4 linked regions of the Diceros bicornis minor genome follow. The protein of the gene in region 1 interacts with the protein of each later gene in a pairwise test. Links are inferred from orthologs where the notes say so. Each region holds a gene or a part of one and is shown in the gene's direction. Other genes may lie near its edges.

What was found.
Region 2: the proteins of ATXN1 (region 1) and ESRP1 interact in binary tests that used the Homo sapiens proteins (3 or more experiments, as listed by UniProt). The link is inferred for Diceros bicornis minor from reciprocal best matches to the Homo sapiens genes ATXN1 and ESRP1.
Region 3: the proteins of ATXN1 (region 1) and TENT5A interact in binary tests that used the Homo sapiens proteins (3 or more experiments, as listed by UniProt). The link is inferred for Diceros bicornis minor from reciprocal best matches to the Homo sapiens genes ATXN1 and TENT5A.
Region 4: the proteins of ATXN1 (region 1) and EIF4ENIF1 interact in binary tests that used the Homo sapiens proteins (3 or more experiments, as listed by UniProt). The link is inferred for Diceros bicornis minor from reciprocal best matches to the Homo sapiens genes ATXN1 and EIF4ENIF1.

Annotation. Positions count from the first base shown.
Region 1 is NC_080753.1:50,433,702-50,441,525, forward strand, and holds the start of ATXN1 (ataxin-1), read left to right. Parts: upstream 1-4,730; 5' UTR 4,731-4,952; intron 4,953-5,791; exon of another isoform or gene 5,792-6,117; intron 6,118-7,824. UniProt on the Homo sapiens protein: Chromatin-binding factor that repress Notch signaling in the absence of Notch intracellular domain by acting as a CBF1 corepressor. Binds to the HEY promoter and might assist, along with NCOR2, RBPJ-mediated repression. Binds RNA in vitro.
Region 2 is NC_080760.1:13,857,959-13,865,902, forward strand, and holds the start of ESRP1 (epithelial splicing regulatory protein 1), read left to right. Parts: upstream 1-4,903; 5' UTR 4,904-5,140; coding exon 5,141-5,272; intron 5,273-5,784; coding exon 5,785-5,913; intron 5,914-7,195; coding exon 7,196-7,309; intron 7,310-7,944. UniProt on the Homo sapiens protein: mRNA splicing factor that regulates the formation of epithelial cell-specific isoforms. Specifically regulates the expression of FGFR2-IIIb, an epithelial cell-specific isoform of FGFR2.
Region 3 is NC_080762.1:49,746,449-49,754,094, forward strand, and holds the start of TENT5A (terminal nucleotidyltransferase 5A), read left to right. Parts: upstream 1-4,617; 5' UTR 4,618-4,916; coding exon 4,917-4,936; intron 4,937-5,119; coding exon 5,120-5,672; intron 5,673-6,796; coding exon 6,797-7,573; 3' UTR 7,574-7,646.
Region 4 is NC_080774.1:24,846,054-24,853,273, reverse strand, and holds the start of EIF4ENIF1 (eukaryotic translation initiation factor 4E transporter), read left to right. Parts: upstream 1-4,146; 5' UTR 4,147-4,163; intron 4,164-4,260; exon of another isoform or gene 4,261-4,346; intron 4,347-4,530; exon of another isoform or gene 4,531-4,623; intron 4,624-4,799; exon of another isoform or gene 4,800-5,280; 5' UTR 5,281-5,307; coding exon 5,308-5,403; intron 5,404-7,220. UniProt on the Homo sapiens protein: EIF4E-binding protein that regulates translation and stability of mRNAs in processing bodies (P-bodies). Plays a key role in P-bodies to coordinate the storage of translationally inactive mRNAs in the cytoplasm and prevent their degradation.

The DNA of each region.
Region 1 (7,824 bases):
GAGTGCAATCTAAGGAAAGTATATTTGTTTTGCAAGCACACTATGATTTGCTCAGATTTTTAAATGACATATGTAGGATAACACCCTCCTTATAATAGCATGGTCAAAGGTCTGTCAGTGTTTCCATTAAAAATTCAAACTTTCCAGGATTTATGACACAGCCATAACAAATTGCTCCAGGCAGAAACTTGGCAAATCTTTCTTTAGCGTAGGAGGAAATTCTTGTTAATAATTTTTTTAAAGATATAAATAAATAAATGTTTACCATTTGAATTTACTCATAAGATTTTTTTGTTAGGGAAGGCATTCAGATAAAATACATCTCTGCATTTTGCTTGTTTTACAAATTTGAAATATTAATATTTCAAATTATTTTTGCCCTCCCACCTTCCAGATGTTATGCAATTGCCCTCCCACCTCCCAGATTTTCAATGATTCTAGTATTTGATTCTCATATTTGGAAGTCTGATTGATGTAATGACTCTGAGAGGTGCTGGATCAATCAACTATGAATCTTTAAGTTTCATCATGGTCAAAATGAACATTTTTTCAAAAGATTAAGATTTGTTTTGCTGTGAATTCCTTGCAGACAGAGATGTCTTACTCATCTTTATATTCTCAGATCCTAGTTATTGTAGATGCAAAATAAATGGCTGCTGGTAAATAAACAATAAATACATGAGAAGCAGCTTGAGAATTAAGACAGTCTCTTATTTAAATATTCACTATTAAACATTCACTATCTAGTAACTGAAAAACTGTTAAAACTGCAAAGAACACGCTGCTGGATTTGAACTTCTACCATTCCCCTCCTCTCTGAACACCTGAATGGATTATTGTAACAATTAAATGACCCAGTGCTCTCAAGGCACAACCTGGTTCCAAAACTTTTTTGAGGCTCGGCTTTCCTATGTCTCAGCCACCTCACAGAAGTGTGTGAAGATGCAGTGCGGAAGACTGTGCAAGTATGAAATGCCACATAGATATAACTGAAACGTAAACCCTCACCACTGCAAACATAAGGATAAACCCCTACAATTACTGTGAAAGTAAACATGGTGAAAAGTTCACATTTTTTCACCAACATATTTGACTCCAAATGAAATGAATTGATCTGACGTAGTGTTGGGTTAACTGACCCCAATGTTTTTAGATAAACAGGAGTTACTCTTCGAGTTGCCTTTTATTCTGGATCCTGTTATCTTTATTTCTGACGGGAGAAAAACTAAGGCATCTTTTCCAAGTATGACTTTTGAGGTTTACTTTCTAAGAATTCAAGCCTAAACTCTAAATAAGTATAGCTATATTGTATTTAATTTCCAATCTGTCCAATTATCTAGTTGTTATAACTTGGTAAGCTGTTTGAGTTTGCTTGTTTTTGTTTTGCTTTGTTTTGAATGATGTAAGAGGTTACTTCCAATGAAAACTTATAGTACAATTTAAAATCCCTTACCATTTGGAGGGCCCATGCACTGGTTTTATTAAGCACTCTTGTGCTCCCTCTGCTGCTGTGAAGAAAACCTTCACATTCAAGACCCCAGTACATTGCTCCCAGAGTGTTCTCTCAGCAATGATGATGCAGATTTGTGCATAAATCAGGGCTCTTTGGAAATGCAGTACTATTTGAACAAAGCATAAAATATAATAATTTTCCATTAACAAGTGCAAATTAATAACAGGGTGAGGGAGTAAAAAAGGAATAAATAGAAGAATTAAGTTCTGCAGCTGTGGCCAGATTCATCTAGACAGGGCCCTGCAGTATAGACAAGGTTCTTCCTACTATAATGTGCTTAGGAATCACAAGACAGATCCTGATTCAGTAGAATGGGGTGGAACTCTCATTCTGAATGTCTAAAAAGTTCCCAGATGCTGCTGCTGTTGCTCTGAAGATTACGCATTCAGAAGCAAGATGTAATACATAATTATATGATAGAATATATACTTGATAGCCCATTTTAAACCTTCAAAAGTAGATACTACCAAAACAATGAAATAGACATAAGGGTTGAAAATGATTTTCCATGGTGTTTAAGCAATCCAGAACACATATTAGGAGTAAGGCTCAGCAGGCCTTATTTCTCAATTTGCTCTAATTTCAAAGTTTGGCCTATGCTCGTACGAATATAGTATCAAGTTTATGAATAGGACTATAGTACCACATTTTTGTCTACTGGCTTCTTGAAAAGCCATCTCTTCTTTCATTGAGTTTTTATTCACATGAGAAAGTCTTGCTTTTAAAGAATCAGTGCCAGTTGTTTGTGATTGCACGTTTAATATTTTGCCATCTGAAAAGAAAACATTTCAGTACTGAAGGTAAAGAAACTCCATCATGAGTATTATGTTTATGTTGGACCTTGCAGGAAGAAACAGTTACAGATTTTAATGGCAGTTTATGGCTTTAATCTTAATGGCTAAGCAAGTAAATGACACATTTTTTATTAATTGTTCTTACTGTTTCGGTAATATACATATTTCGCTTCCTTGAGGGAACATTTAAATTAATTGACTAACTCTAATCTGAATTATGTGTTTTCATTTAAGGCTGTTAAAATAACTTAAACTAACTGCTTATGTCAATGTAATAATTAAAAGATTAGCTCTTTTTCACCCCAAATTCTCTACACGTAAGATGTCTAAAAATAAAGTGGAGGTGGATTGGACAGTCTGCAGATCAGGAGTTGGAATAAAAACATCTCAGTTAAGCCAAAAACATGGCAACCAATATTTTCTGTTATAAAAATATTTTAGATGAATTTAGTTTTTATGAAATCTGTCTGAAACTGAAATGAATAGCAGCAGCTCTCTGTTTATTCGCAGGCCAGTAATATAATACCTGCCGCACAACGCATACGGCTTTTACGTGCAGAGCCAACAAGCTTCTGCTCCTTTCAGAAGCCGGCTCTGCCAAGTGGGGGGAAGAGATATTACCCGGTTATGTTCTGAGATGTTAACCTTCACCTTGATAATGCTTGTCAACGAAAACACCACCAGGCAGAGCCTTTTCAGAAAACTGATTTTAAACTGTCCACTAGAGGCTGTAAGGAGACCAACAATATCACCTTAGTCCAACCTCGAGGTTTAAACTGTAGCAATCATTGATTGTTAAATGATAAAAAAAAAGTTGTAGACATGAGTAAGAGTGAACAAGAGTAATTCTATTTAAGTAGCCATGTATATGTGCATGGTATTTCAAAATGTGAGAAAAAAATGATTTCCGGGGCCCTACACCTTCCTAGTTAGTATGCTTATTTTTATTTCTGTAGCACGTTGACTCTACAATACAGTTGTTTAAAAGCTGACATATTTCTCTTGGTGATTCTGTATCCTGCTTCAGTTGGTGACTAACCGTTAGATCATAAGTAAACTCAGCCAAAAGTTTTCTTAAATACAGCTTACAGTCAGTAGTGGTGGCTTCCCGAGAGAAACTTACGTGGAAGGATCATGTTTCCAGACACTTGGTTCTAAGCACCTGAAGAAAGTCAAACGCTGTCCCGACACCTACTGGTCTTCCAGAATTATCTGCATTAAGGAGAACGCCCCACCGACCTCGCTATAGCGTGGATGTGCTTTCTCTTCCTCCAGGTGCCACACCTGTTGGCAAGGTGCACCCCTCCAAAGAAAATTCTTTCCCATCGAGCTAACACCTGGCAGTGGTAGATGCCGAGGGGGCGGGATGGTGGGGAGTTGAGAACCGCACTTAAAAATTGAGTCCAGAGGAAGTTCTTCAGCGCGGATTCACAAGAAGTGCCATTCGATGCTCGGTTTGCTTTCTTTATCTCCTACACTGGTTACCTCATTTCCGATTAAATTAATGATCCCGAATTAGCTGCAAGAGGAGTGCGCGGGTCGTCTACCAAGGCTAGAGCTGGGTAGTTCAATACCCCAAGCAGATTTCCGGACCTGCAGAGAGAAAAAGGAGAGCAGGGAGGTCACCGGTTTTCGCAGGCAGTAAAGGTAAGGGTGCACGTGCAATCGGGGGGACCCTTAAAACTTTCTTGAGTTGCACGCAAAGGCAATCCCCGCGGCCCGGTGGTCTGGGTTCCGGAAAGCCCAAGCTAAACCGGTTTCAGGGTTAACTTGCATGACGATCGAAGTCAGCCCTCTTAGATGCTTCTCGGCGCGCCGGGGACGAAGGGCACGTCGGGATCAGAACTGGCCACCTCCCCTTCCCCTGGGGTATTTCATGGGCTCGGAGTTGAAGCCCGACACCCCTCGGAGAGTCCTCCAGGGTGCCCGAGTTGCACCCTGATGTCGCTCTGTTTTCTCCAACTAGGTGCAGGGACCCGGGGAGGCGCGCGAGGACCGACCGGTCACCGCTAAAATTACCTCATCGCTTCAGCTCCCCGCCCCTTTCCCAAACCTGGAAGAACTCTCCCCTTCAGCCCGTGTCTCCCCTCCCGCCCTCCTCACCCCGATCGCAATCCAGTCTTTGGGAAACGCGCCCGCCTCCCCCGGGGCCGCCGAGCCCGGGCAGCGCGCACCGAAGGGTTAAGGGCGCGGGCCGCCGCTGCGCCGCGCGCTCGCGGTGCTCACAGCGGCTCTCTCCGCCGCCCGCCAGAGGGTGCCCCCCCGCCCCCAAGTCGGATCCTTGAGCTGCGGCGGCGGCAGCCAACTGCTCCATATTTGGCTTCTATTACACATTTACATACTGGAGCGAGCGAGCGAGCGCGAGAGAGCGCCAGGGAGGGAGGGAGCGAGGGAGGGCGGGCGGAGGGGGGAGGGAGGAGGGAGGGGAGGGGAGCGGGGGGAGGAGGAGGAGGAGGAGAGAGCAGAGTATACCGCAGACATCATTTCTACTACAGTGGCGGAGCCGTACAGGACCTGTTTCACTGCAGGGGGATCCAAAACAAGCCCCGTGGAGCAGCAGCCAGAGCTACAGCAGCCGCAAGACACTGTTTCTCTCCCTCTGCCCCCCCTTCCCCACGCAACCCCAGATCCATTTACACTTTACAGTAAGTGGCTATTTTTTTTTCTCCTCTGATTCTTTCCCTCCTCCCTCCCCCCATCCCCTTCTCCCCTTATTTAGATTAAAATCCCCCCCATCCCCGCTCTCCCGAGAGGGGTAAAAGCAACAACCGGCAAACAAACCCCAAACCCCAAACCCCAATCGGCGGCACGAAAAACAGCTGGAAGAGGAGCGAAGGAAATCGACGCGTCGTGTTGTGTTATGTGTGTGTATGTGTGCGTGTGTACATACAGCCTTCCCCTGCTCCAGCCTCCCGGGCCGACACCCCCGCTCTGGGCGCAGGGACGTCCGGCAGGGGGTCTGCCGGGGCCGGGTGGGCGCCCGCCGGGCGAGGGGGTGCGCCCGGTTTGGGGGCGCGGGCGGGGAAAGCGGCGGCGGTGCCCCGCTCCGCGGCTGCCGGTCCGGCGGAGAGTGCGGCGAGCCATGTCCTCCTCCCTTGAGGTGGCGTAAGGGGAGACGGCGGCTGCCGGGGGTCGCGCTGCCCCCTCCTCCCGCGGCCCCCTCCTCCCTCTCTCCAAAGAGGGCGGCGAGAGCCAGTGGGTCTGGAGGAGGGCTAGGCTTCCCCGCGGGTGGCCGCCTGGCCTGCGAGCCCCAGGGTGGGGGTCTCCCCGCGGAGGCCGGGACTTTGCGCACGGCCGGGCGGTGGGAGCGCTGGGGGCGCGGAGGGGTGGGAGCGAGGGGAGCCGGCGTGCGGGTGCCGGGAGCGCGGCTGGAGTGGCGGTGGCGGCCCTGGCTGCCGCCACCGCCGCCCTGTTGGTACGGCCGCTTCCTGATCATGTGCAGCGGCCGTCGCCGCCGGGAGCCCGCGAGCGCCCCGGCCCGGACCGGCGCCCCCGCCAGCGCCCGCAGCAGGAGCAGAAGAGCCGCGGCCGGCGCTGCCCTGCCTGCGCCGGGAGTGAACGGCTGCGCCGCTGCTGAGAGGGTGAATGAAGCCAGGAGGAGGGGAAAGAGGAGGCGGCGGCGGCGGAGGAGGCGCTGCGGGGATTGGGATGCGCCCTGGAGCCCCGCTGCTCGTTCACTCTGGGCCGTGCTGGAGACTCTGCCACTCCCGCGGCCGCCGCCGCCGCTGCCTCTTCCTACGTGGTTCCAGAGCTGCGCGCAGGCCGGTCCCGCAGGGGGCAGGGAAGGGGGCCGGACGGGCGGAGCGAGAGGTGAGGCGGTGGCAGAGCCCGGCGTGAGTGCGAGTGCGTGTGCGTATGTGTTTGTGTGTGCGCGGGGGAGGGGGGCAGCGAGGGCAGTCGCCATGGGGAGGGAGCCCCCTCTGTGGCCACTTGGCTGACTCTGCAGCGCCCCGACCCCTCCTCAGCCTCCCGCCCTCAGGCCGCCTTCCTAAACTCTGTAGCTTGTGCTTTCATTTTATGTCAGACCACGTAGTGGGCTGACTGGCAGCGATGAAACAATTCAGGTTTTCTAGGGAGATTGAGCAAGAACCTTAGTGGGGGGTGGAAGTAGGGTGATGTTGGAGATCCTGCCAGAAAACAACAAAAAAAATCAGTTTCTAAGAACTGTGGGGTTCGGTTCAATCCCGTGGCTGCTCTGTTTTGTTTTGCTTTCTTAGTATATAATCCGACAGATAAGAGGGTAATATAAATAGTTGGGAAGGTTGGGAAATTGCTGAAGAGTAGTAAGGGGGGAAAAAAAGCCAGTCGGAAGCTGGTTATATAATGCGCGATGTGGCTAACGAGAACGGCAAGCTATTTTTATTTTGTTTACCGTATGCTGTGCAGTAGGGACTCCTCCAAACTGGTTCTGTCCCCGAAGAGATTCTTAGCTTCCGTGTGAGATCCACAGGATACAATTAGCAAAATTAGAAGACCCTATTACACCCACAGAATAAAAACTAATGCCTTAGAGTGGCATGCTCCCTGCACATCCTGTCGTGCATGCACGGCAATGTGTGTATGCAAATAAGTTCTCCTTTGGGAATCTAGTAGTCACATCTCAATGACATTTGTGTTTTATAATGCAGGGTATTCTTAATATTTAAGCATCATCTTTACATAGAGCACACACAGTGGGTAGTTATTTGGTGGTTATTTTTAGTCATAGCTAGTTACTTTTTCAACAATGTTAGCTAAGCCATTTCTGTTTGGGTTTCTGAGGAGCCCTGCAGTTCCTAGAAGCTCCTGTTAAGCCCACCCTCTGGTGTATTTGGTGGGTGAAGGTAGTTGGATACTTGAGCTTTTTTTGGAATGAAGCTTATGCCGTTATGCCGGAGGAAGAACCAGAGAGAAGGATGGGAAAATCCTGCACATGAACTCGTAGAAAGGGATTGCACCATAGCGGCTAATGCTGTGGCGTTTAATCTCCTCTGATTGCCCTCTAACTGTGCATGCATCAGTCAATATTTTAGCAGCTCCACACACAAATGGTCTTGAATGCCACCTTCTCTGTAAAGCAGAGGTTGAAGGGCTCTCCTGCCTGCCTTTCTCATCATGAAGATACTGTCAGTGGTGTAGGTTTTCGTTGCACTTACTCCAGCCCTGATCACTCATGTAATTAGATCAGGCTGCCATGGCAACAGACAGTGTTCCTCGTCCATTCAGGTGGGTTTGTCTTGTGCCTGGACTACTCCAAGTGTTTTATGCACAGTATTTGTGCTGCCCAAGCCAGACGAGAGACTTCACTATTTCAATTGGTCTTCTTTCAGTCATCTGGACTGGAGACACTGAATGAGGCTTCTAGCTACTCAACTTTTATAAAGGAGACCCACAGGCTGTTCTTACTGGGTGCAGTATGTAAATGCATCTCCCTGGACAGTGAAAGGAGCCCAACAATCCTGCTGGTGTTTATTGTGAACAGATCAACAAGTATTTGGTACTTGTTAGAAACCTTTCAGAGCTTACCAAAGCAACATT
Region 2 (7,944 bases), on another chromosome or scaffold:
TCCAGCCTTCCTTGATGGTGTCTCTAGTCTAAGCTAAGGTCGGAGGGTTACTAGCCTTTGTGGTTGTTGTCTGGAGAGACCCCTCCCCACTTGGAGATTCCTCTTGAGTAGTACCCCTCCTGGTTCTCAGGTTTGTTTTCTTTAAGGAAGACATTTCTTTATACATTTCCTCTCCCCTTAAAACCTATGAAGTGTGCATTATCATCTGCATTTTTACAGGTGAGAAACTGAGTCTTGTGAGGCTAAGGAACATGCCCAAGGCCATGAGGTAGCAAATGGCAGGGCTGATTATTAAACCCATACTTTTTCCATACAGACGATCTATAATAATCGCTATAATAAATGTCCAGACCAGTAATTTGGTTAAGTGTGTAATGCACAGAGTAATTCATAGAAAATTATAATGTATTTAGTTATCTTGACCATCACTTCCCCCTACCTCTCCACTTCAGAGAGGTTGGACTTGTCCCGGGAGTATAAAATGTGGTCTCTTTTACAACTGGATCTAATACAAATAAGTAAGAAATATAAATGGTTTGTGGTAGCCTCAGAACACAAGCTTTTACTTTGATTTGTTTTTTAAAAAACTGAAATATAATTCACATACCATAATATTCACCCCTTTAAGGTGTACAATTTAGTGGTTTTTAGTATATTCACGTTTGTGTGACGATCACCACTATCTAATCTGATAACATTTTCATACTTTGATTCACTTTTGAAGCCTCTTTTCTTACAGGTACAAGAGAACAACTGGGTATGTGCAAGTGAGAACTCCAAGAAGGATCTAGAGATCTCAAACAATAGTGGAGCCAGTAAGTGCAGTGCTGCTACTGTAGTCTTAAGAAGGGAACTGCATGACAAATTATAAGAATAAGACATATAGGTACCATTGTGTCAATGGTCAGGCCACAGAGGACACACCTGTCTTCTGTCCAGTTCAAGAGCTGCTCTCTAAAAGTGATGAGAGGAAAAGGGTCGAAGGAGGGTGATGACGATAATTAAGAGCAGGAAAGTAAGATTCCTGATGAAAGCTTTAAAGAGCTTGCGGTAGTTTAGTCTAGAAAAGTTATTTAAGAACAATCTTAAAGGATATGAAAGGATTGTTATACAGAAAATGCTGATCTCTTCTTTCTCCTTCTTTCACTAAGGAAAAGACAAAGAAAATGGATTCATTCTACAGAATGGAAGATTAGATTAGCATAGAAAGTCATGAGACACAGCCTTGTTAAACACTAAATGGTGGTGGCAGCAAAAAGTCCTCTGATGCTTTTAAAAAAATTTTTTAAGAGTTGCAAATAATAGTATAAAGAATTCCAACACGGGGCTGGCTGGGTGGGGCAAGCGATTAAGTGCGCGAGCTCCGCTGCAGCGGCTCGGGGTTCGCAGGTTCGGATCCCCGCGCGCACCAACGCATTGCTTGGCAAGCCATGCTGTGGCAGTGTCCCATATAAAGTGGAGGAAGATGAGCACGGATGTTAGCCCAGGGCCAGTCTTCCTCAGCAAAAAGAGGAGGATTGGCAGATGTTAGCTCAGGGCCAATCTTCCTCACACACACAAAAAAGAATTCCTTCACTCGGATTCCCCAGTATTGACATTTTCCCACATTTGCTTTATTATTTTCTCTGTCTATATATAGGTATATATTTTGTTGGAATTGTATGAGAGTAAGTTATAAACATGATTCCAGTTTATCCCTAAATACTGCATACTTCTTAAAACAAAGGACATTTTCCTGCTGAACCACAGTAATATTACAAAAATTGAGAAATTAGAACTGATACAATACTATTATTTAATTTGCAGACCTTATTCAAATTTCTCCTATTGTCCCAATAATGTACTTTAAAGCGACAAAAAATTTTTTTGGTCCAGCATCCATGTTGCAGTTAGTTGTCATGTCTCATAAATTCCTTTATTCTGGAAGAGTTCCTCAGTCTTGGTCTTTCATGACCTGAATAGTTTAAGAATATAGGCCAGTTATGTTGCAGCCTGGTCCTCAACTTGGGTCTCTGCTGCTTTAAAAAAAAGATTCTTACTTGTCTCAGGTGTTTTAGACATGGTCTTGACTGAAGACCACAGGTAGAATAAGCCTCTCTTCTCAAGAGTCTTCCCACCCACCTCATACTGATTATTCTTACTATATTAGAATAATTTATAGATGGTGGGATGGACAATAAAACATTTTTGTATACAGAATTGATCTGCTTGTATTACATAATTTTTTTTCTCGGCATTCCTGCACTTTACAAGAGTTTAATTTCTTTAGCAAAAGTAGGTTTCTCTGTCAAAGAATTAGCACCTACTCTTTTTAAACATCGAGACTTAAATTACCTGTAGACTCCCATTTTCAGAATCTCACCTTTGCGGTGATGAACTATGCCCAGCTCAGGAGACAAAGAACTGTAAAAATGGTTGGGTGTTACTCATTAAAATCATTCTACAAATATTTGTTGAATGCCTAGTATATGTCCGGCTCTGTTCCAAGCTCTGGGAATACATTAGAGAAAAAAAAAATTCTGTCTGTGTAACCTAGTTAGACAAATTTAAATTTAAATTAAAAAGATCAGAAACCAGGGATCCGACTTCCCTAAACAAGAAAAGACAAGTCTGTGAACAGGGGGAACCTGAGATTCGATTCTAATATGGATGACGCTGCGGAATCCCTGGCGAACGCGCTGATCAAGTTCTCAGTTGATCCAAACGCGCTATACAAATGATTAATCCGCACCCCGGAGGCCAGAAAGGACGGGCGGGGCCGGACTTCCTGAGCTGTTCTAACCGTTCTCAGCACAGTCGCCAGCCCGGCGTCGGGCCTCCGGGCCCCCCCGCGGGGCCACGCACCGGGTCCCGCGCCCCCACGAGGCAGTGCCCCCCGGCCCAGGCGGGGCGGAGCACCTGGGAACCGCGCACCGAAAAAGCCCCGCAGGGAGGTGGCTCCGGAGAACCGGCTCCTCCGGGCGGCCTCGCCCACTGCAATGCAATCTGGGTGGTTTTTCCAGGTCCCTCCCTGCCCCGTTCCGCGCCCAGGCCCTGCCCCCGCGGCGCCTGCGGGCCCGAGAGGGTGGCTCCGACACAGGGGCACTGGGGCGGGCCGAGGCTGCCGCTGCCAGCCAACCAGGACTGCGGGGGCCCTTTAGCGACCCCGCACCCTGAAGTCCCGGGGCGAAGAGCACGCGCCGCTGAAACTCGACCTGCGGACGAGGGTGGCCGAGCACCTTCGAGGGCCCTTGCAGCGCTGCCTGGCCCCGGCAGAGCCCGGCCTCCGCCCGCTCTCGGGGGACGCGAGCTGCTACCTGCGCCGCGGGCGGCGGCGCCTCCGCCCGCACCCTCTCCTGCAAGGAAACTCGGCGGCTCGCGCTCCTCAAACCCCTTCCCCTCACCCTGCCGCAGCCTCAGCTCCTCCCCACTAAGTCCGCGCTTCCTCCCCGTCGGGAGAGCGCGATCTCCAGCGTCCCGACATGCGTCCTGAAAGGTTCTCGGATTTGTACCCGGAGTGGGTTACTGTAGACATAGGTGTGTGGTTGCCTAATTTCACATCACAAATAGAAAGGGCTGGACACCTGGAGCCGAATTAGTAATACTTCAGACGGAATTCTGTTCCCAAGAATAGAGCACTTGGAAATATAAAACTCGAGGAAACTTCACCTCTGGCTCTTTTCTTTCTGTGAACGGGCCCACCACATTGCCGTCCGGCTGGGGGCTGGGGGGTGATGGTGGGCGCCCCAGCCTCGGTGCAGTCCGAGCTGAGCTAGAGTAGGGACACTGCTTGGCAACTTGGCCAAAAATAGACACACAAGTACAAAGGCAAAAGTATGAGGGCGTGGGACCAGAGCGGGGAACTGAGGGAAAAGCTTTGCTTTGGCTTGATTTAGACAAACAGCTACGCGGAGTACATGCGTTTTATTTAGGGCTCAGGGCAAATCAAAGGAAGCGGGCTCCTGCCCTGGAGGAGGTGCTAACCTCGAACTAGCACTCAGGACCAAACAGGACGTAGCAATTAAGGGAGTGGTCGAGAGGAGAGAGAGTGGGGTCCCCCTGCCGCTTTGCGCGCGGTAACTGCGTCTTTGGACGTAACTCGGTGGCCCGGCGTCCAGCCCCCGCGTCTGGCTCTGCGGCGCGCCGGGGTTTCACTCCCGAAGGTGGGCAGCGCCTCCGGGTTTGGAGGACCGTGCGCCCGGCTCCCGCCCGGAGGGGGGGAGGGCCTGCAGGGTTTCGCCTGCTGTTTGCACTTAAAGGTGTGTTGGGCTCAGGAGCGGCTTTTCCGGTGCTCGGCAATTGCCCCCGTCACCTCCCGGCTGCCGTTGGCCCGTCCCTCCCTCCGCGGCTCGCCCTTTCGGGGCGCCGCGCCCTGGGCAGCTCCGCACCCCGGGCCTCACCTCTGGCCTCCTTTCGCCTCCCCACGCCAGGCCTTTTCGCTTGACCCTTTAAAACCTCCGGCTTCGTTCCCCATAGCCGGCATTTCTCCAAGCCCCCCACGCCTCTCGGTTACCTCCATAGGAGTACCCCCTTCAAGCGACTCGCCCCGCCCCTTTTCCCCTCACCCTTTTCCCGTCTGGCCTCCGCTACCCTCTGGGTGGCAACTGCCGCTTCCCCGCCCCTCGCGTCTCCCCCTCCTCCTTTCTCGCTCTCCCCTCTCCATTCATCCTGCCATTGTCTCCCGCCCCCTCCTCCCCTTTCCCCAGGCGGCCTCCTCCCCCACCGCTGCCACGTCGTGGTTTGAAGGAGCCAATGGGCCGGCGCCGCCAGGTGTCTCTTACCTGCACCACGTGGGGGAGGGGGAAGGGGCGGGCAGGTAGAGCCACATCCCAAAACAGAAAAGCTTTCAGCCATTGCGCGCGCCTCCTGGGGGTGCAGCCTTGCTCCTGGCTTTTTGCATAGACTCACCGGCAATTGAATACAAAAAGGGCAGGCCTCCTGCGCCCTCCTTCCCACCCCCCTTCCTGCCCTGGGTGTGGAGCACGGGCCAGGTGTGGGCTTGGGTGGTTGGTTACCGCCTTTTGCACAGGCGGCGAGGAGGGGGGGTGGGCGCTCTTTCTTTTTCTCTCAAAAGAGGTTTTAGCACAGGTTTTCTCGTTCTCACTTCCACCCTACCTCATCGCCTCCCGACCCCCCCTTCTCCCCCTCCCCACCTATCGTCATGACGGCGTCTCCGGATTACTTGGTGGTGCTTTTCGGGATCACTGCTGGGGCCACCGGGGCCAAGCTGGGCTCAGATGAGAAGGAGCTGATCCTGCTGTTATGGAAAGTGGTGGATCTGGCCAACAAGAAGGTATTTCGCCACGTTTCTCTCCAAATGATGGGAGTGGGGCAAGAAGTTTGTTGTAGAAGTTTGGGGAATCGGTAAACAAGTGCTCTTGTTTGCCCACTTGTGAGGCTGGACCCGAGGCCTAGAGAATCCAGAGTAAAACCAAATTTGTTGGCCAACCGCCTTGGAGCCATTTCAGTCCCTCGAAATCTGGCTCAGGTGGGGAGGCCTGGCGCCGCGGAGCCGGGTTTTCTGCCCGTCGAAGGACGCCCGGCGGAGCGGGGTGGGATCCGCGGGGACCGGGTGCCCACTTCCCGGGCCTTTCCGACCTGAGCTGCGCGGGGTTGGGGCCGGGGGCAGGGCCGCGCCGACCTCCCGGCCAGCGGAGCTGCCGGTGACAAGTGAGCTTTGATTTTGCGGCCAGACCCCTCGAGAGGCGCGGGCCGTCCCAGGAGAGCAGCGAGGGAGGAGGGTGAAGATAGAGGCTCCCAAATTGAGGAAGGGAGAAACTGAGCCTTGCTTCTTTCCCTCCGGAGGTGGGACAGTTGCACGAAGTACTAGTTAGACCAGATCAATTGGAGCTGACGGAGGATTGTAAAGAAGAAACGAAGATCGACGCCGAAAGCCTATCCTCGGCGCCGCAGCTGGACCAAGCCCTCCGACAGGTGACAGCCTTGGGCCGCGCCACCCACCCCGATCCGAGCCGCCCAGGCGCCCCCGAAGCTCTTGGCCTAGCCCTACCAGGCCCCACGCCCTCGTCGGGCGATCCACGCGCGTCCTCAGGGCAGGTGGCCAGACGCCCGGCGGCGTGGGTGGAAACCCGGCCTGGAGGCCCGGGTGGACTTTTTGGGAGGAGGTCGCTGCTCCTCTTCGCCTCCCAGGCCCCTAGGGTCTTGGGCCAAAATTCGCTAGTTTTCAGGTTGCTTCCTGAGTCATTCCTGGGGCCAGAGAATCAGCCGGGTTTTACCAATTGAGTGATGAGCGGGGTTTGAATCCTAGCGTCCCCATCTCCCGGCCCAGACCCCAGACGCGTCTGTCCTCTGCCGGGGTTTGGGTCTGTGACTCAGCCCTGGGGCAGGGGGCGCTGTGGTGTGGAAGAGCGGGCGGGCCCTGCGTTGAGCGCTAGAGGCGGCTCCAGTTTGGTCGGAATCTGAAGGTGCCTGCTTGGTTTCAGGCTTCTAGAGGCTCGGTTCCGGTGCCTTTATTACTTCCTCAGTGGCCTTGGTCCTGGCGCCGGGGAGGGTTTGCAGGCCTGAGCATGTAGGGCTGCTCCTTGGGTCACCGTGAAACTGGTGGAATCCCTTTACTGAAATTGAGGTGACCTAAAAAGCGTCTGCACCGGGGTGCTGATGGGTACTGGATCGAGGATAGGGCGGGGCGCTAAACACCTGTGCACAGGTGAGTGTCTGGCGCTTTCACGGCCCCTGCCCTCGCACACTAGTTGCGAATTATAGGGGAAAGTTATCATTTCTGGGTTGTGTTCTAGGAAACGTGTTACCAGACTTTCCAGAAGTCTGTATACCCACGTTAGTTTATCAGAAACTGGCATCTTTCTTAAGCCTGGAACATCCAAACATTAAAAAAAAAAAAGAAAAGAAAAGAAAGCACCAGAGAATGATGTAATCTGAAGGCAACCTGCTGATGAAATGAGACCTGGCTTAAAAGTCTTGAATGGATTTATAGCAAAAATAGAAGGGGGACGGAAGGAAGAAAGCATTTACTAAATTCCGTGCGTAAATTGCAGGTTGACTGGAAAGCTTGCCTATCTAAAGGAAGCAAGACAGTTTGTGGCAACGGAGTCTGTCTCTCTAACGTTGCCCCCAGCACCAGGGCACCCTTCACGGCAGTTAGCGCGGTTTTCTCTGGGTTATCACTAAGTGGGGCCACTTTGCCGAGTTTGTAAATCCTGCATCAGTTGTGTCCCTATGTGTGTCTTATTCTTTTCAGTTTAACCAATCAGTGAGCAATGAGCTGAATATTGGGGTAGGAACCTCCTTCTGTCTCTGTACTGATGGGCAGCTTCATGTCAGGCAAATCCTACATCCTGAGGCTTCTAAGAAGGTAAGAATGCTGGCTTCTCAAAAAACGATTTGGGGTGACTGGAGCTTTTTTAAAAAAATGGTTTATCCAAGTTTCTCTATTTTAAAAAGATACATATGGGGAGTTATCATTTCATGGGGACAGAATTTCAGTTTGAGATGACAAAAGGATGGTGGTGATGGTTACACAACAATGAGAACATACTTAACGCCACTGAACTGTAAACGTAAAAATTGTTAAAATGATAAATATTGTGTTATGTATATTTTGCCACAATAAAAAATTCATGACACTTTCATAGAGATGTTTGATTACAGTAATTTTATGGATCCACTTTGGTGACTTAATAAAACAAAGTTTCTCTTTTTGTTTATATCAAGTTTTTGAGATGCTTGACATTCTCCCTTTTCCAAAGCATATTAGCTGAATTTTTGACATTTAAAATAACTACAAGTAGGTAGGAGAGAACTGTATTTTAGTACATTGTAATATCCTCATCCATAGGAAAATGCTTTATCCTAGAAAGGAAGGAGCAAAGAAAAAAGTTCAATTAAACCTTTTTCATTGTAATTCTAATAACTTCATTAAAAAGCTTTGCACTGTGTAAAGTAAGACTTAACCATATAACTAGTGAAATAATTATAGTATACTGTGCT
Region 3 (7,646 bases), on another chromosome or scaffold:
AGGCCTAACAGCAGTTTTCTGGGCTCTTCTCTCGCTTCTTCTGGGTGTGACCTTGGGGGAATCATTTCGTTTTTGTTTGCTTCCTATCTTCTAAAACCATTTTTGAGAAGATAGGAAGCAGACATAAGCAAAATGGGAAAGGTAGCACCACTGCTAAGTGAACTTGGGGCAGTCCCCCACCCTCACATTGCATTTTGGGGTGTGTGGCGTTTGTTGCAAGCTCTCTGCAAGGCTGTGAGCTTGCTAGCTCTCCACTGCCAGGAAGGCAGGTCATTTGTGGCTGGGGAAGAAACTCCTATCATCCCAGTTAGGTCACTGTGCATTCTGGCCCTCGACGGTTGTTTCAGGATAAAACACCTTGGTCCTCAATGTTGTGTCTAATCTCAATGTCCAGGACTTGGAAAGAAAAAACGAGCAGCTCCAGTTCAGTTTTAAGTCTAAAAGGAAAACGAGAAGACAGAGAGAAGGCAGACTCATAGACTAAAAGGGACTAGAAGAGCAGCCACATGGGTGGGTCTGAACCAAGCCTCTGCCACTTCTGTAAATTACTTAACCTTCTTGTGCCTTGTTTTCTGGAAAATGAGGATGTAATATGTAAAAATGTTTGGAGAAACTTTAAAAGAAATAATGTACGTAAAATACTGAGCACATTGCCTGGCACATTGTAACAAACTGAAATGGTAAGTATTATTAAGGCCAAAATTGAATTTCTTCTTATTGTGCTAAGCCCAGATTGATTGTCACCGTAACTTTTATTTTTTATTTATTTTTTTTGTGCGAGGAAGATCGGCCCTGAGCTAACAACTGCCAATCCTCCTCTTTTTGCTGAGGAAGACTGGCCCTGGGCTAACATCCACACCCATCCTCCTCCACTTTATATGGGACACCGCCACAGCATGGCTTGATAAGCCATGCGTGGGTGCGAGCCTGCAATCGGGGAACGGCGAACCCCAGACTGCCACAGTGGAGCGTGCGCACTTCACAGCTTGCGCCACCGGGCGGGCCCCTGTAACTTTTAAATCAAGATCAACTAATAAGTGTTTTTTCCTCAAAAATGTACGTAAAGCTTTCTTTTAAGAATTTCAGATAGAGACTCAAAGCATCATATTGCCATAGATATTTTTTTTCCTTTTAAAAGCGGAAATGTAGGGGCCGGCACAGTAGCGTAGCGGTTAAGTGCGAGCGCTCTGTTGATGGCAGCCTGGGTTCAGATCCCTGGCGCGCACCAACACTGCACTGCTTGTCAGGCCATGGTGTGGCGGCGTCCCGTACAAAGTGGAGGAAGATGGGCACAGATTTTAGCCCAGGGCCAGTCTTCTTCAGCAAAAAGAGGAGGATTGGCATGGATGTTAGCTCAGGGCTGATCTTCCTCACACACACACAAAAGCAGAAAAGTAAATTAATTACAAAATAAGTTCAAAAGCTAAAGCCTAAAAAAAAAATCAGGAACTCTGCACCTAAATTTAATTTAAAAGTAACTGTCTTCGCTGTGAATGTGTTTGGAAAACATAGACTTTCTCATTTGATAATTAATTTGGTTATCCAGAAAAAAAATAAATGCTTGCAATCGCAAAATTTGCAATTTCTTGTAAGGATGAACTTTTTTTCCCAGAATGTAAATATTATCTCAGTTTGAAGATAGGGAGAAGAGGGACAAAGAACAACAGATGTATCCAGTGGCCACTATGAATCAGGCACATATGAATCCAGTCAAAGCACCACCAAGATGCTGCCAAAAGTAAGATATCCCAGATGTCCTAGTGCAGGAGGTGGTAGGGTCTGGATTACGGAGATTTGGAAGGCTGCAGTGGGGAATGCTTTGTTCAAAGGTTAAGGAAGTATCAGCCACAAAGCTCTGGCAGCTTGGGAGAAAGGGTCTTGCCCCACTGCTGCTGGGATTCATTTTTTCCCCGCTCAGGGTCTGATGCATAGCAGGCCCTCCACCTCTGGCCTCATGCTCTACTTCTGTCTCTCTGCCACGCCCTCCATTTTTGGGAGAGGCCATGAGAGCAGCTGGGCAGTGAAGAGCAGCCTCAGCCTGGGAGAGGGTCCCCCCCTAGAGAACTGGGGGGCAGTGGCTGTTGTCAGTGTAGTGCAAAGTGTGGCTGGGCCCTCTTGTCAGGATCACATGGGCAACTTGCTAAAATGCGGATTCCTTTAGCCCGACAGAACAAAATCCTGGGCATGCATGAAGTGCATGGGCTCACCAGCTCTGAGACTCTAATGCTTTTTTTTTTTTCTTTTATTTTGAAGGAGGGTTAAAATAAAGTACAAAATAACAGCACTGGGGCTAAACCCTTGATTTTTTTAGTGCAATATACCTAATACATGATCTACCCCTCCGGCTTTGTTTTAAGAAGTGGCAAAACTCATATTGACCTTTGAAAGAAACATTTGTAACAGGCCCTCTCCTTTTCTTTCAAATAGTTTTGCTGTTTGTACTTGTCTTGCCTTCCAGTGGGAAGGGACTGGCAAGCTACAGATAACGCGGCTCCTGACAATGATGGCTACACAGCAGTTACAGTCAAACCGGTTGGGGTCAAGGCCTGACCCCACCACTTATTAGCTGTGAAACTTGGGTAAATCTCTTTATCTCTTGATGCCCTTTTCCACATCCCTATGGCACAGCATACCTGCTGCTTGAATTGCATATTAAATGAGGTTTTATGTATAAAGAGCTAAGCAATGTATCGCCCAGACGCGCTCAACAAGTTCCTGGAACGCCCACAAACCTTATCTAAACGTCCTACCGATCTCCTTTCTTACCATGGTGGTCTGTACATCCTTTCTCAAGCATTCTCTAATTCTCTTATACTCTTCGTTGATAATGGGTTCTCCTCCTTCCTCGACTATTGAAGGAAAGTCCACTTTTCAACGTCCAATCCAAATGACACTTCTCTTCTGGTCTTGTCTCCCAGTTCCTCCAATCCTAGTAAGCCCAGCACTCCTCTGTGTCAGACAGAACACACTTCTCTCCTAACACAGGTATAGTTGAACCATAATTATGTACTTGCCGGTCATGCCCACTAGACTGTGTAAAACGTAGTCATTCTTAAATCCTCGTCACTTACCTTGGAGCCCGGCACATAACAGGCGGTCAAACCATATATATATATATATATATATATATATATACACACACATACATACACACACACATGTATGCGATTTTCCTGAATGTGCAGACTAGATGGATTCATGGGAGGATGGCTAGACGGGGGGAGGACATGAGGGTGCTTTTGGGGAGGCGATGGGGCTATGAGAATTGCGTGGTTGTCCTAGCGTCCCTTCCCCGACCCCCCACCGTGCTAGGCGTGACGCTGAAGGATAATGGCTTCTAAGGTCCAGCCGGTTTCTCCGCTTTGGGACGCGGCTCCGCAGGGCACCGGCAGGGGGCGGCGTTGTCGCGCAGCTGGATGCTCCGCGGGTGACCGTCCCCCGCAGAGCGCTGGTGACTAGGCCGGGGCTCCCCAGCGCAGAGGGGGCGGCTGGGGTCGCGCGGGGCCATGAGAGGGAGTCCCCGGCGCACTCCCCCTCGCCCCCACCTCCGCCGCCCGCAGCCCCGACGGGAAGGAAAGTTCCTGAGGTGCTCGGGCAGAGGCAGCGAGCGGCCGGAAAGGACGCCCGAAGAAAGGGGGGCGCTTTCTAGCAAAGACGGGGGAGCGAGCGCCAGTGCGCTCCTTGCGCTCTGCCCAAGCGAGTGAAGCTGGCGGAGAAACTTCCATCCTTAAAACTCGTACTTTCATGTTTGGTGGAAAAATTTAAATAATTTCACGCTGACATGTGAACACTTGAGAAAGGCAAACCTTAGCGCAGAGTGACGGACCCGCTCGCCGCCTTGGGGCTCCGTGAGCGAACGCGCCGGGGCGTCCAAGCCGCCGGCGGCTCTAGGGCGACATCGCGGCCGCGCTCTCCGGCCCGCTCCGCCCTCGGCATCGGCCAGCCGCCCGCGGGCGTCCCGACTGGCCGCGGCGTCCGCTCGGGGACGCGCGCCGGCCCGCGCCGCGCTCCCGGCCGCCCGGAGCCGCTCGTGCGCAGGAGCCGGACGCCCGCCCGCGCCCCGCCCCCGCGGCTCCTCCGGCTCCCCGCGCTCCCCGAGGCTTCGAGAATCGAAACCCGGTTATCACGAGCCCTCCCCCTCAGGCGCGGAGACTGGTTTGCGTGAGGGAGTGAACTCAGATCACCCCGAGACCGGGCTTATGAATGAAGTAAGAGGCCCCCCGGACACACCGGGTAAAAGGGGGTCGTGAAGAACCGCCGAAGCCCCATCCTGAAGCTGTTAGGACGCGCTGGCTCCGGCGAGAATGTTATGTTTGGGAAGTTTCTGCAGTCGAGTGGTTTTAGTCGTGATCCGGTTCTCAGGGCCACTTATGCCTCTTCAGGCGTTCTAAGTTGGGGAAATAGAAAAGAGGCGGGGGCGGCGGGGGCCTGTACGCACTCGCGGCCCCCCCGCCGCGCTCTCCCGGGACCGCTCCCCCCGCAGCGCAGTCGGCCGGCCGGCGGCGGGGCGGGCGGGGGCGGCGCCCTATGCAGATGAGGAGGGTGTGGCGAGCGCGCGGCGGCGGGGCCCCGGAAGCGCAGAGAGGCCCGGTATAAAAAAAGTACTGAAGACCTTTCCCCGCACAACTGCTAAGGCTCCGGAGACGGGAGCGTGTGCGGCGGCGGCCGCGGCAGCAGGAGCCGCCACCTCCGGGACCACGGCAGCTGAGGCGGCAGCGGCGCGGTCGGGGGCGAGGGGCGGGAGCGGCCATCGCAGGCGGCGGGGGTCTGGGCAGGACTAAGTCGCTCGCCGCTGCCGGGAGCGCACTCGCAGCTCCTGGAAGTGTTGCCGCCTCGCGGGTCCTCGCTCGCTGCGCTCCTAGAAGGGGCGGCCGCCTCCAGGTGACACAGACGGGACTCTCGCTTGCGCTTTCCAGATGCATCAGAGATACTTTTGGTGCGGGGCTGCTCTGCGGGGCGCGGCGCGCGCGGCTGGGGACCGCGGGAGCCCGGGGAGGGAGAGTCTCGGAGGAAGCCCCAGGCAGGGGGCGAACCCGGGAGGGAGCGCGCTGTTTCCTCTGTGGGCCCCTGTCCGCCGCCGCGCGTCCTCACCGCGCTCCCTCCCCCTTTTTTCCTTTAGGACTGACCAGGGCCAAGTGGTGTTCGGCGGGCACTTCATGGCAGAGGGCGAAGGGTACTTTGCCATGGCCGAGGACGAGCTGGCCGGCAGCCCCTACATCCCCCTGGGCGGCGACTTCAGCGGCGGCGACTGCGGCGGCGGCTTCGGCGGGCCCTGCTTGGACTATTGCGAAAGCCCCACGGCGCACTGCAACGTGCTGAACTGGGAGCAAGTGCAGCGGCTGGACGGCATCCTGAGCGAGACCATCCCCATCCACGGGCGCGGCAACTTCCCCACGCTCGAGCTGCAGCCCAGCCTCATCGTGAAGGTGGTGCGGCGGCGCCTGGCGGAGAAGCGCATCGGCGTCCGCGACGTGCGCCTCAACGGCTCGGCCGCCAGCCACGTCCTGCACCAGGACAGCGGCCTGGGCTACAAGGACCTGGACCTCATCTTCTGCGCCGACCTGCGCGGGGAAGAGGAGTTTCAGACTGTGAAGGACGTGGTGCTGGACTGCCTGTTGGACTTCTTACCCGAGGGGGTGAACAAGGAGAAGATCACGCCGCTCACGCTCAAGGTAAAGCGCCCGAGGCGGGGAGACGGGCTTGGGTCGGCACCCGGGCCGGGCCGGGGTGCGGGGTGCGGAGGGCGGAGGGGCTGCCGTTTGACGCCACAGGTCGGCGGCCAGGACGGGTTTGGGCGCGCTAATTTGTTTTGCTTGGGTCTTTTTAAGGAGTAGACTACGGTGCGTCGACGGTGTTGAGTGTTTTAGTTTACTTGGTGCTTCAGCGCCACAGCTCTTCTCCAGCTTCCTCTTCTGCCGTCCCTTCGCTTCCTTCTCCTTATTTTTTAACCCTTGGCTTTTCTTGCTTTTGTCTTGCCCAGAGTAGATTCCGATACGTCGAAGAATGAAATGATGTAAATCATTTTTTTTGTTGAGTCTTTTTATGTTCTAGTGTTTGGGAAAGTAGCAGCCTTAAGCTGAACCTAGTCAATGGGTTAGTTATTGTATTGGAAAATGTGAGTAGATTTCCTAGCTGCATTCAGCTGACTCCGTGTGTTTAGGATAAGCACCAACCCGGTGCTTCTCCGGGTTGGTTCGTGTGTTAAGGATACAGTGGAGTCCTCCTCTTCCCTACTTTCGTTCAGTGCGCGTTTTATATAATTAGTTAAAATGGTCTGAGGAGTCAGCCTCCCAGAATGTCCTAATTTAGTTCATATTGGATTGTAACTGCAGAGTACCCCTGGTGGGACATACAAGATACTGACCACTCGGTTGCCTTAGGGGGAGGGTAGTTGGGTGACTAGCGACAAGTGTGAGAGGCAGACCAACTTTTCAGTGTATGCCCTTCTGTCTTTTGAATATTGTGTGGATATTGTGTGAATATTGTACCTATAAGACCGTTTTCAAAAAATAACATTTCAAAAGTCAGACATGACAGCCTGTTAGTACTGTGCTATGTCTGCCAAAAGCCTCGAACTATTATTTCTAGTCTCTTTCCCAGACGGTAAAACTACTCGTTAAATGTATTTTTTTTTTCTGTTTTCAGAAGACTGTTTAAGCCTGTAGGTAGTGTTTTGCTGAAACTTGACAAAATAAAAGAGAAGGAGCAAAATAATTCTCAGCTGTGAAGAGGATGTATTTATTTATTATTTTTTTCTAGGTTTGCTCATCTTCTTGTTTTATCTTTTAAATTGTAGGAAGCTTATGTGCAGAAAATGGTTAAAGTATGCAATGACTCTGACCGATGGAGTCTTATATCCCTGTCAAACAACAGTGGCAAAAATGTGGAACTGAAATTTGTGGATTCCCTCCGGAGGCAGTTTGAATTTAGTGTAGATTCTTTTCAAATCAAATTAGACTCTCTTCTCCTCTTTTACGAATGTTCAGAGAATCCAATGACTGAAACATTTCACCCCACAATAATTGGTGAAAGTGTCTACGGCGATTTCCACGAAGCTTTTGATCACCTTTGTAACAAGATCATTGCCACCAGGAACCCAGAAGAAATCAGAGGGGGAGGCCTGCTTAAGTACTGCAACCTCTTAGTGAGGGGCTTTAGGCCCGCCTCTGATGAGATCAAGACCCTTCAGAGGTATATGTGTTCCAGGTTTTTCATCGACTTCTCAGACATTGGAGAGCAGCAGAGAAAACTGGAGTCCTATTTGCAGAACCACTTCGTGGGATTGGAAGACCGCAAGTATGACTATCTCATGACCCTTCACGGAGTAGTGAATGAGAGTACCGTGTGCCTGATGGGACATGAAAGAAGACAGACTTTAAACCTTATCACAATGCTGGCTATCCGGGTTCTAGCTGACCAAAATGTCATCCCTAATGTGGCTAATGTCACTTGCTATTACCAGCCGGCCCCCTATGTAGCAGATGCCAACTTTAGCAATTACTACATTGCGCAGGTCCAGCCAGTATTCACGTGCCAGCAACAGACATACTCCACTTGGCTACCCTGCAATTAAGAATCATTTAAAAATGTCCTGTGGGGAAGCCATTTCAGACAAGATAGGGGGAAAAAAAAAAAGAAAAGAAAAA
Region 4 (7,220 bases), on another chromosome or scaffold:
TTAAAATTTTAAATTTAGGTCCATTCTGATCATTTTAATTTTTTTTAATTTATGTTTTATTTTTGTGAGGAAGATCAGCCCTAAGCTAACATCCATGCCAATCCTCCTCTTTTTACTGATCATTTTAAAAATAAGGATGGGGGAGGATCGGTGGGGCATTTTTATATGCTTTTCTCCGGTGCTTTGTAAAACATTTGAAAGCATGTGAGATTTCTGGTGGAGAGAACAAAGGCTAGTATTATGTATGTAAATGCTTGAAAGATTTTTAAAAACATGAGGAAAAATAACTTGGGTGTCTCAGAATTAGAATCATAGGTAATTTGCATTTCTGCTCATTTTCTACATATGTTAATTTTATAATTTAAAAAATGTGTAAAAGAAGTTCCACTTTAGTGGGACACGGGAGCCAGTCTTTTACGGACAACTCTTTTCTGAAGTTATGTGGCCAAGTAGTTTTAAAACAATTTAGTGGGGCTGGCCTGGTGGCACAAGTGGTTAAGTGCTCGCGTTCTGCTGCAGCGGCCTGAGGTTTGCCAGTTCAGACCCGGGCATGCACCGACGCACTGCTTGGCAAGCTATGCGGTGGCGGCGTCCCATATAAAGTGGAGGAAGATGGGCACGGATGTTAGCCCAGGGCCAGTCTTCCTCAGCAAAAAAAGAGGAGGATTGGCAGATGTTAGCACAGGGCTGATCTCCTCACAAAAAAAAAAAAAAAAAATTTAGTGAGTTTCAAAGCCCTAATTAACACTGTCATACTTGCTTATTGTAAAATTAGTCTTTAAGTACTTTTATATAAATTATGTACATTTATATAAATTATGACAGATCCACAATGATAAATCAATAAGCATGCTTTCTAGATAATTTGCTGATGCTTTCTTCCTGTCACGTGCATTTACCACCGTCAGCTTTGACTAATTTAGAAAAAGATAAAAGGCATTTCCATTTGAGTTATAATGAAAATAATTAGTCCTGTCAAGAAACATTGGAAGATAACAGTATAGAATAACAACAGCTAGTGCAGCAGCACTTATGTGGTGTCAGGCTCTATTTTAAGTACTTCCCATATATAAAATCAAAGATGTACAAGTGTCAGAAGGGGTCTACGCTCTGCAAATAATTTGCTGTGTGGTCTTCCGGAAATCCCTTAATAACTCCTTTATAGTCCTTAACCTGAGTACATGATGACACAATGTGAAACTGTTCAAATCCTATTTTCTTGGAACTAGGGATTACCCTTGGAGCAAGAAAAACTGAGTAGGAAAAAGCTCATTTAGAGAGGCACAGGGCAATTCAATTTCTGAGATGAGGCTGCTCTCAAAATTTCTAGGTTTCTAATACTTTCATTTGCTTCTCTACTGTTCTTGAACTACTAATTTCCCCCAAATGACTAAACCTTTGAGTCTCCTTATGCCAAACTTGGAACAAACATTTTGAACGTAAACCAAGATCTTATATTTAGTAAAGAACTAGAATAAGTCATTTCTCTCTCACTCTGTCAAAGGGGTTTCCCATTCTGATATTTGAAATTTCATTACTAGTTGCAAAAAGGGGCATTTAGAATTACAAATTATCATTCCTGCCAAGGAGAGTAACATTCAAAAGCTACAATGAAACAAGGATTTGCAAGCATCTAGCTTTTGCTTGGCAGAGGTGAAAGAAATTTTTAGACGCCCTCCCTTAGTAAATTATTACCTTTATTCCTAGGTAATAATTGTTTTATTCTTTCACAAGGATAAATTGAGACTCTGAGAGGTAAGAAGTGAGTTGAGACCAAGGTTCTACAAGAGAAGAGCCTGGTGGAAAAGTATGTCCTAACTAGGATCGTTCTCCTAACAAGGATAGAGGACATTAGCTCCAGGTGAGGCCTCTATCATGCTAGCTACAGTACCTTGAGCAGATTTCGTGTGTGGCTTGTGGTAATTTAAAAATATGCCCACAAATTCTTTGACACTCCTCTCATATAAAGGTGGAATCTAAGTCCCCTCCCCTTGAATATAGGCCAGCCTTAGTAACTCCTATCTAAGGAACAGAATGTGGCAGAATAGACACTGAGTGACTTGGAAGCATAGTTAGAAAAAAAACAATTCAGCAACTGTCTGGCCCTCTCATTCTCTCTAGCCACCAGGTTGTAAGGAAGCTCAGGCCACAGAGAGGCCATGTGTGTTCCAGCCAACAGCTCCAGTGGTCCCAGTTGACAGCCACCATTAACCACCAAACAGGTGAGTAAAGTGAGTGATTAGATGATCCTAGCCCGCAGCCTTCCAGCGCCCCAGCTGATGCTAAATGGAGCAGAGACCAGTGTCTCAACTAGAACAGGCCCAAATTGCACATTCAGAGGCAAAATAAATGTTGAGTTAAGCCACTGAGTTTGGGAGTGGTTTGTTACACAGCAATAGATAGCCAAAACACTGTTTTTAATGTTATCTGTAACTCCTCCCACAAGTCTGAAAAGGAGGTACTGCTATCCCTTTTGGCAGATGAGTAAACAGGTCCAGAAAGGTGAAATGACTGGCTCAGGTTTCATAGTAAGCAGCAGAGCCAGGATTTAAGAGCTTCAAAGAATGGGCCTTCTCCACTATTCCATAATGACAAGAAGATTAAACCATTTCCCTAGTATCAGGAAGAACCTGGATTCTAATAGCAGCTTGGTTTTAAAAATAATAAAAATGACCATTGTTTGACCACCTACAATGTGTCTCTGTATAGGCTTAAAAAAAACAAAAAAACAGCTTTATGGAGGTTGTATAAAACTTTTTGCCTACCTTATCCTATTTTAACCTTGTCAACAGCCCTGAGTGGGTTATCTTCTAAATTTTACAGATGAGAAAACCAAGGCTAAGGATAAATGGCCTAATTCTCCACATCCTGTAGGGTGTGGTAGAGCGGCAATGCAAACTCAGCCCCACTTGCAAACACTTCCCTCTGTCTCTTGCCTGCAGAGAAAAGATAGTTTGTAAGAGACACATCGTATTCAATATCACAAAGAGAAAAACGTTTTCATTATTGTTTTCTCTAGTGCCAACACTCATAGGAAGGGAAGTTAGTGATCACTTACTGCCCAATCCCCTCATTTCACAAGTGAGGAAAGTGAAGCTCAAAGAAAGTAGGCCCCTTCAAAGAAATGTAGTCTTCGCTATTCTTTAGCGAGGAAAATTACGTTTCCCTCCACGCCCATGTGTCATTTCACACCAACCCTGGGCGGTCCTACGGGGCAGAAACTGGGGTACGTGATATTCCTGGAGACCGGGCTCACCTGTGATCCCCGCCAAACCCTTCCTGACCGCTCCTCCCCGGAGCAGCAGTTACTTTCATCGCTTAGAGTAGGGAAATTATATTTGCATTTCTGTGCCCCCGTCAGCCAGTCTCGGCACTATGTACTAAGCGCTTGCCATTCGCCAGCTCATTTTCACCCAAACACACTAGAACTGCCCCTTCTCGTGCAGGCTCAAGATTCAGATTATGGGCGGGAAAGAACTTTTCAATGAATTTGTCAGTCGCCCTCAGCTCAATCAAAAACAATCGCGGCAAATTTGCTTATTAATGCAGCAACGCGTAATCTCGTCTATTCCTCGTAAATTTATAGAGAGGCCATTTGAGAAAAAAGAAGACCGAACCTCAGAGAAGTCAGAGCTCTGGCCAAGATTACACACCACTACTAGGTTCGAGCCCACACCCGGAAGGCTCAAAAGCCGCTAGGTTCGCCTAACTCAGATTCCCACTGCCAGGGCCCCAAGGTTCTCCGCCGACGCGAACCGTGGAAACGCAGCGGTCGACGCGCTCCCCGGTCGCAGGAGGCCGCGGACCCCGGCCCACTTGGCGGCTACCGCCACCTTACCAGAAGCGCTGCCGAGCGGGGGTTGCGGGGTGCAAGCACCGCCCGCCCCGTTGCGCCCCGCCCCGAAGCGCGCGTGGGAGCGCGGCGTGCTCCCCGGGGCTGCCCACGGCGACCGCCTGCGCGCACCGGGGAGGGCTTCCGCTGGCCCCGCCCTGGCCTCCTCCCCGCCGCCGCCACCTCTTCCCCGCCTCCGCCTCCCCGCCGCTGGGCGCACGCAGGGGCTGGCGCCCGGGGAGCGCGCCGCGATGTTTCTCTTTTCCGTCCGGCACCGCGGCGGCCACCTCACATCCGGGCGCGCGGCGGCGCAGGCGGCGCTGGGGCCGGGGTGCGTGGAGGGGAGTCATTAAGGGGGAGGGGGCCGGGAAGGAGGGGCAGAGGGCTGGGCTGCGGTTACGGCGGCTGATGAGAGACAGCTCGAGCGGGTCGGGGGGGCGAGAACGGAGGCCGCGCGGAGCAGCCCTCGGACCGGCGCGGGTGGCGGGGAGGGGAGCGGCGGCAGAGGCACCGAGTAAGGGCCTGGCGGCGGGGGCCGGGACACCGCGCTCCAGGGCCCGCAGGGAGAGGAGGGACAGGGGCGCGCTGCTCCCGGGGTCGCGTGCGTGAGCGCGAGCGCCTGGGCGCGCGCGGGGCTGGGCAGGGGCGCGAGGCCGGCAGGCAGCGGGCGGGCTGGCGGGGCCCTAGCCGCCGGGCTGGGGCGGACGGCGGCGGGCCTGCGCCGGCTCCAGCTGGGAGCGCCCGGGCCGGGGGATTCGGCCTCCGCGCTCCCTCCGACCTGCCTCCTCTCCGTGAGTACCGTCCCCGCCCTTCCTCCGAAGAAGGCCGCTGGGCCGGGGCCTGTGCGAGAGGCCGGGGGTTGGGGTCGCGGCCCGGGGAAGCTGAGTTTCGGAACTGAAGCCAGCACTCGCCCCTTCTTTGCTACGGGCGCTCCTGACATGGCCACAGGTGCGGCTGCCTGGGCGAGGGGCGCTCGGGCTCGGTCCCCAGTCCCTGGCCCCCGGATAACAAGGGGCAGCTGGCGCCGTCCATTGGCAAGTGACAGGCACTTTACCACAGCTCGACTTCCCGGATCCCCAGCGGGTCTTCTACCTGCCCCCACCCCGGGAAACTTCCCCACTACTGCCTGAACGGCCCCTATGCGTGGCAGCGACTAATCTTGGTTTCTTTTCGTATTAAAGCTGTTTAAAGGCTGTACCCTGATTTGGGCACCTTCCACTTCTGCCTTCCTTACCCTGTTGATGCTTAGAGCATTTTACTGTAAGAGATAACTAAGTACCAGTGGTTCTATTTCCAAGTGGGTTCTGGTTTATAGCATTATTGTTGAGCGAGGGTTTGTTTTTTAAAGGTAGTCATTTTAAGAGGTAAGGGTTTCACTTTCTTAAGCAGTCAAGACTTCTGAAAATTTATTGTTTTCCGTGACAGTTTTGTGCCGATTTATCTTCCAGGTGCAAAGAATTGTAGACCAAGGAGCCATGGATAGAAGAAGTGTGGTTGAAACAGAAAATGGAGATGCTTTCCTTGACCTGAAGAAACAACCGGCCTCCAAATCCCCCCATCGATATACAAAAGTAGGCTTTGTTACTAATGAAATAGTGTTTCTTTACAGATGGGGAGGTTAGTAACAACATTGTGTAGGTATTTCATTAGTTTCATCTCAAGTGGTAGTCTTACTTTTGGCTCACTGTATGGACTAAATATTAACTAGGATTTAGTAAAGCATTGCTTTGAACCTTTTTCTGAAAGTGAATACCCAGAGTTTAAACTAGAATTTGCTTCTAAGTAGCCTTCAGGTGAAGAGAATATTGGCTCAGATTCCATATGAATTTGGGGATCAATATATGTTAGCACACAGATTCTGTAACAGCTATGTAACTGGTGTCTTATTGACTCACGTGCTGTGCGGTAAGGATTCCAGCTTTGAGATGCCTTACAGAATCAATGTCTCCTGTATTGATGTTTCCTTGAAAGGTAAACTCCCCAAAGGAATGCTCTTTGGTGTGCTTAGCTAGGGTAACCAGATTTTTTAATTGTTTTTTATTTCCCGTTGCAAATTGGATGTGGACTCACAAAAGTAAAACTTCAATCATATTTTCCCTAGCTGAAAACTTGTGGTGATTTTAAACTGCTCATCTAGATACCTGCTCTTTCCAGCGGGGGTGCAAATCACCTCAAGGTCATATATTTATTGAAGCTATTGCTTCGGTATGTTGTTGGCTACTGAATGTTTCTGAAGAGGTTGACAGGACTTGGTGAGCTGTGAATTCATTTCTGGTTCCCTGAAATGTACTGGGCTGGAGTAGATAAAATAGGAATGTTGATGGGAAGGGTTATGTTCTAGTTAGGCCATATCTGTATTTCCTGAATATGGACTCAGTCAGGGACTCTAATGTGGTTATTGTCCCTGGCTTCCCGGGGTACTGAATGGTTAATATTTTCAAGTCAGGCCTTGTTTATGTACTTGTGCCACTGCTCTTACCTACGTGGTAAAGTATCAAATGCTATCAAAGTATTATTCATCCAATGCCAAAGTATTATCCAAATGGATATCAAAGTAATATCCATTTTTAGCATTTAAAAAAAGCTCTCGGGCCGGCCCCGTGGCTTAGCGGTTAAGTGCACGCGCTCCGCTGCTGGCGGCCCGGGTTCGGATCCCGGGCGTGCACCGACGCACCGCTTCTCCGGCCATGCTGAGGCCGCGTCCCACATACGGCAACTAGAGGGATGTGCAGCTATGACATACAACTATCTGCTGGGGCTTTGGGGGAAAAATAAATAAATAAAATCTTTAAAAAAAAAAAAAAAGCTCTCTACAGGAAAAGTATTTTCAGGTGTAAAAGGGTTCTTGGTTAATTGCTTTCTTAACACAATCTGTTTTGGCATAATAGAATGTGAGTTGATAGAAAGTATTGTACTTCTTCATTCAGATTTGTTCTTCCCAAGTGTAGTTTCTCTCACCTGAGAGTGCTGGAGTAGTGTTTCACAACTTAAATTCATTATTTAAAGTGTTGACAGGTGAATTCTGAATGGAGAAAAGCTTATTAAATGAAGGGAAACTGATTTGAACTGCTTCTATAAGCTTATGTGATTTCAAATCTTCCAGTACTTTTTGAATAAAAGTTCTGACTGGTACTCTACTTTGTGGAGTCCAGGCAGAGAGACTTTTCAATCACTTTCACATGCTGATTAGAGAATGGTATGTATGTTTCACCTTTATGCATATCTATCTTTATGCGTAAGTCATTTTTAGGAAAATATTATTGGTCTGTCTTAGGGTAGTACTTATCTATGTCTACAGTAAAGATTAAGAAGCTCAATATTGCCCATTTTTGGCAGTCCAGCCCCAGAATTCTGCCATACTTAGATAATTGCGTCTTAAAGAAATGGT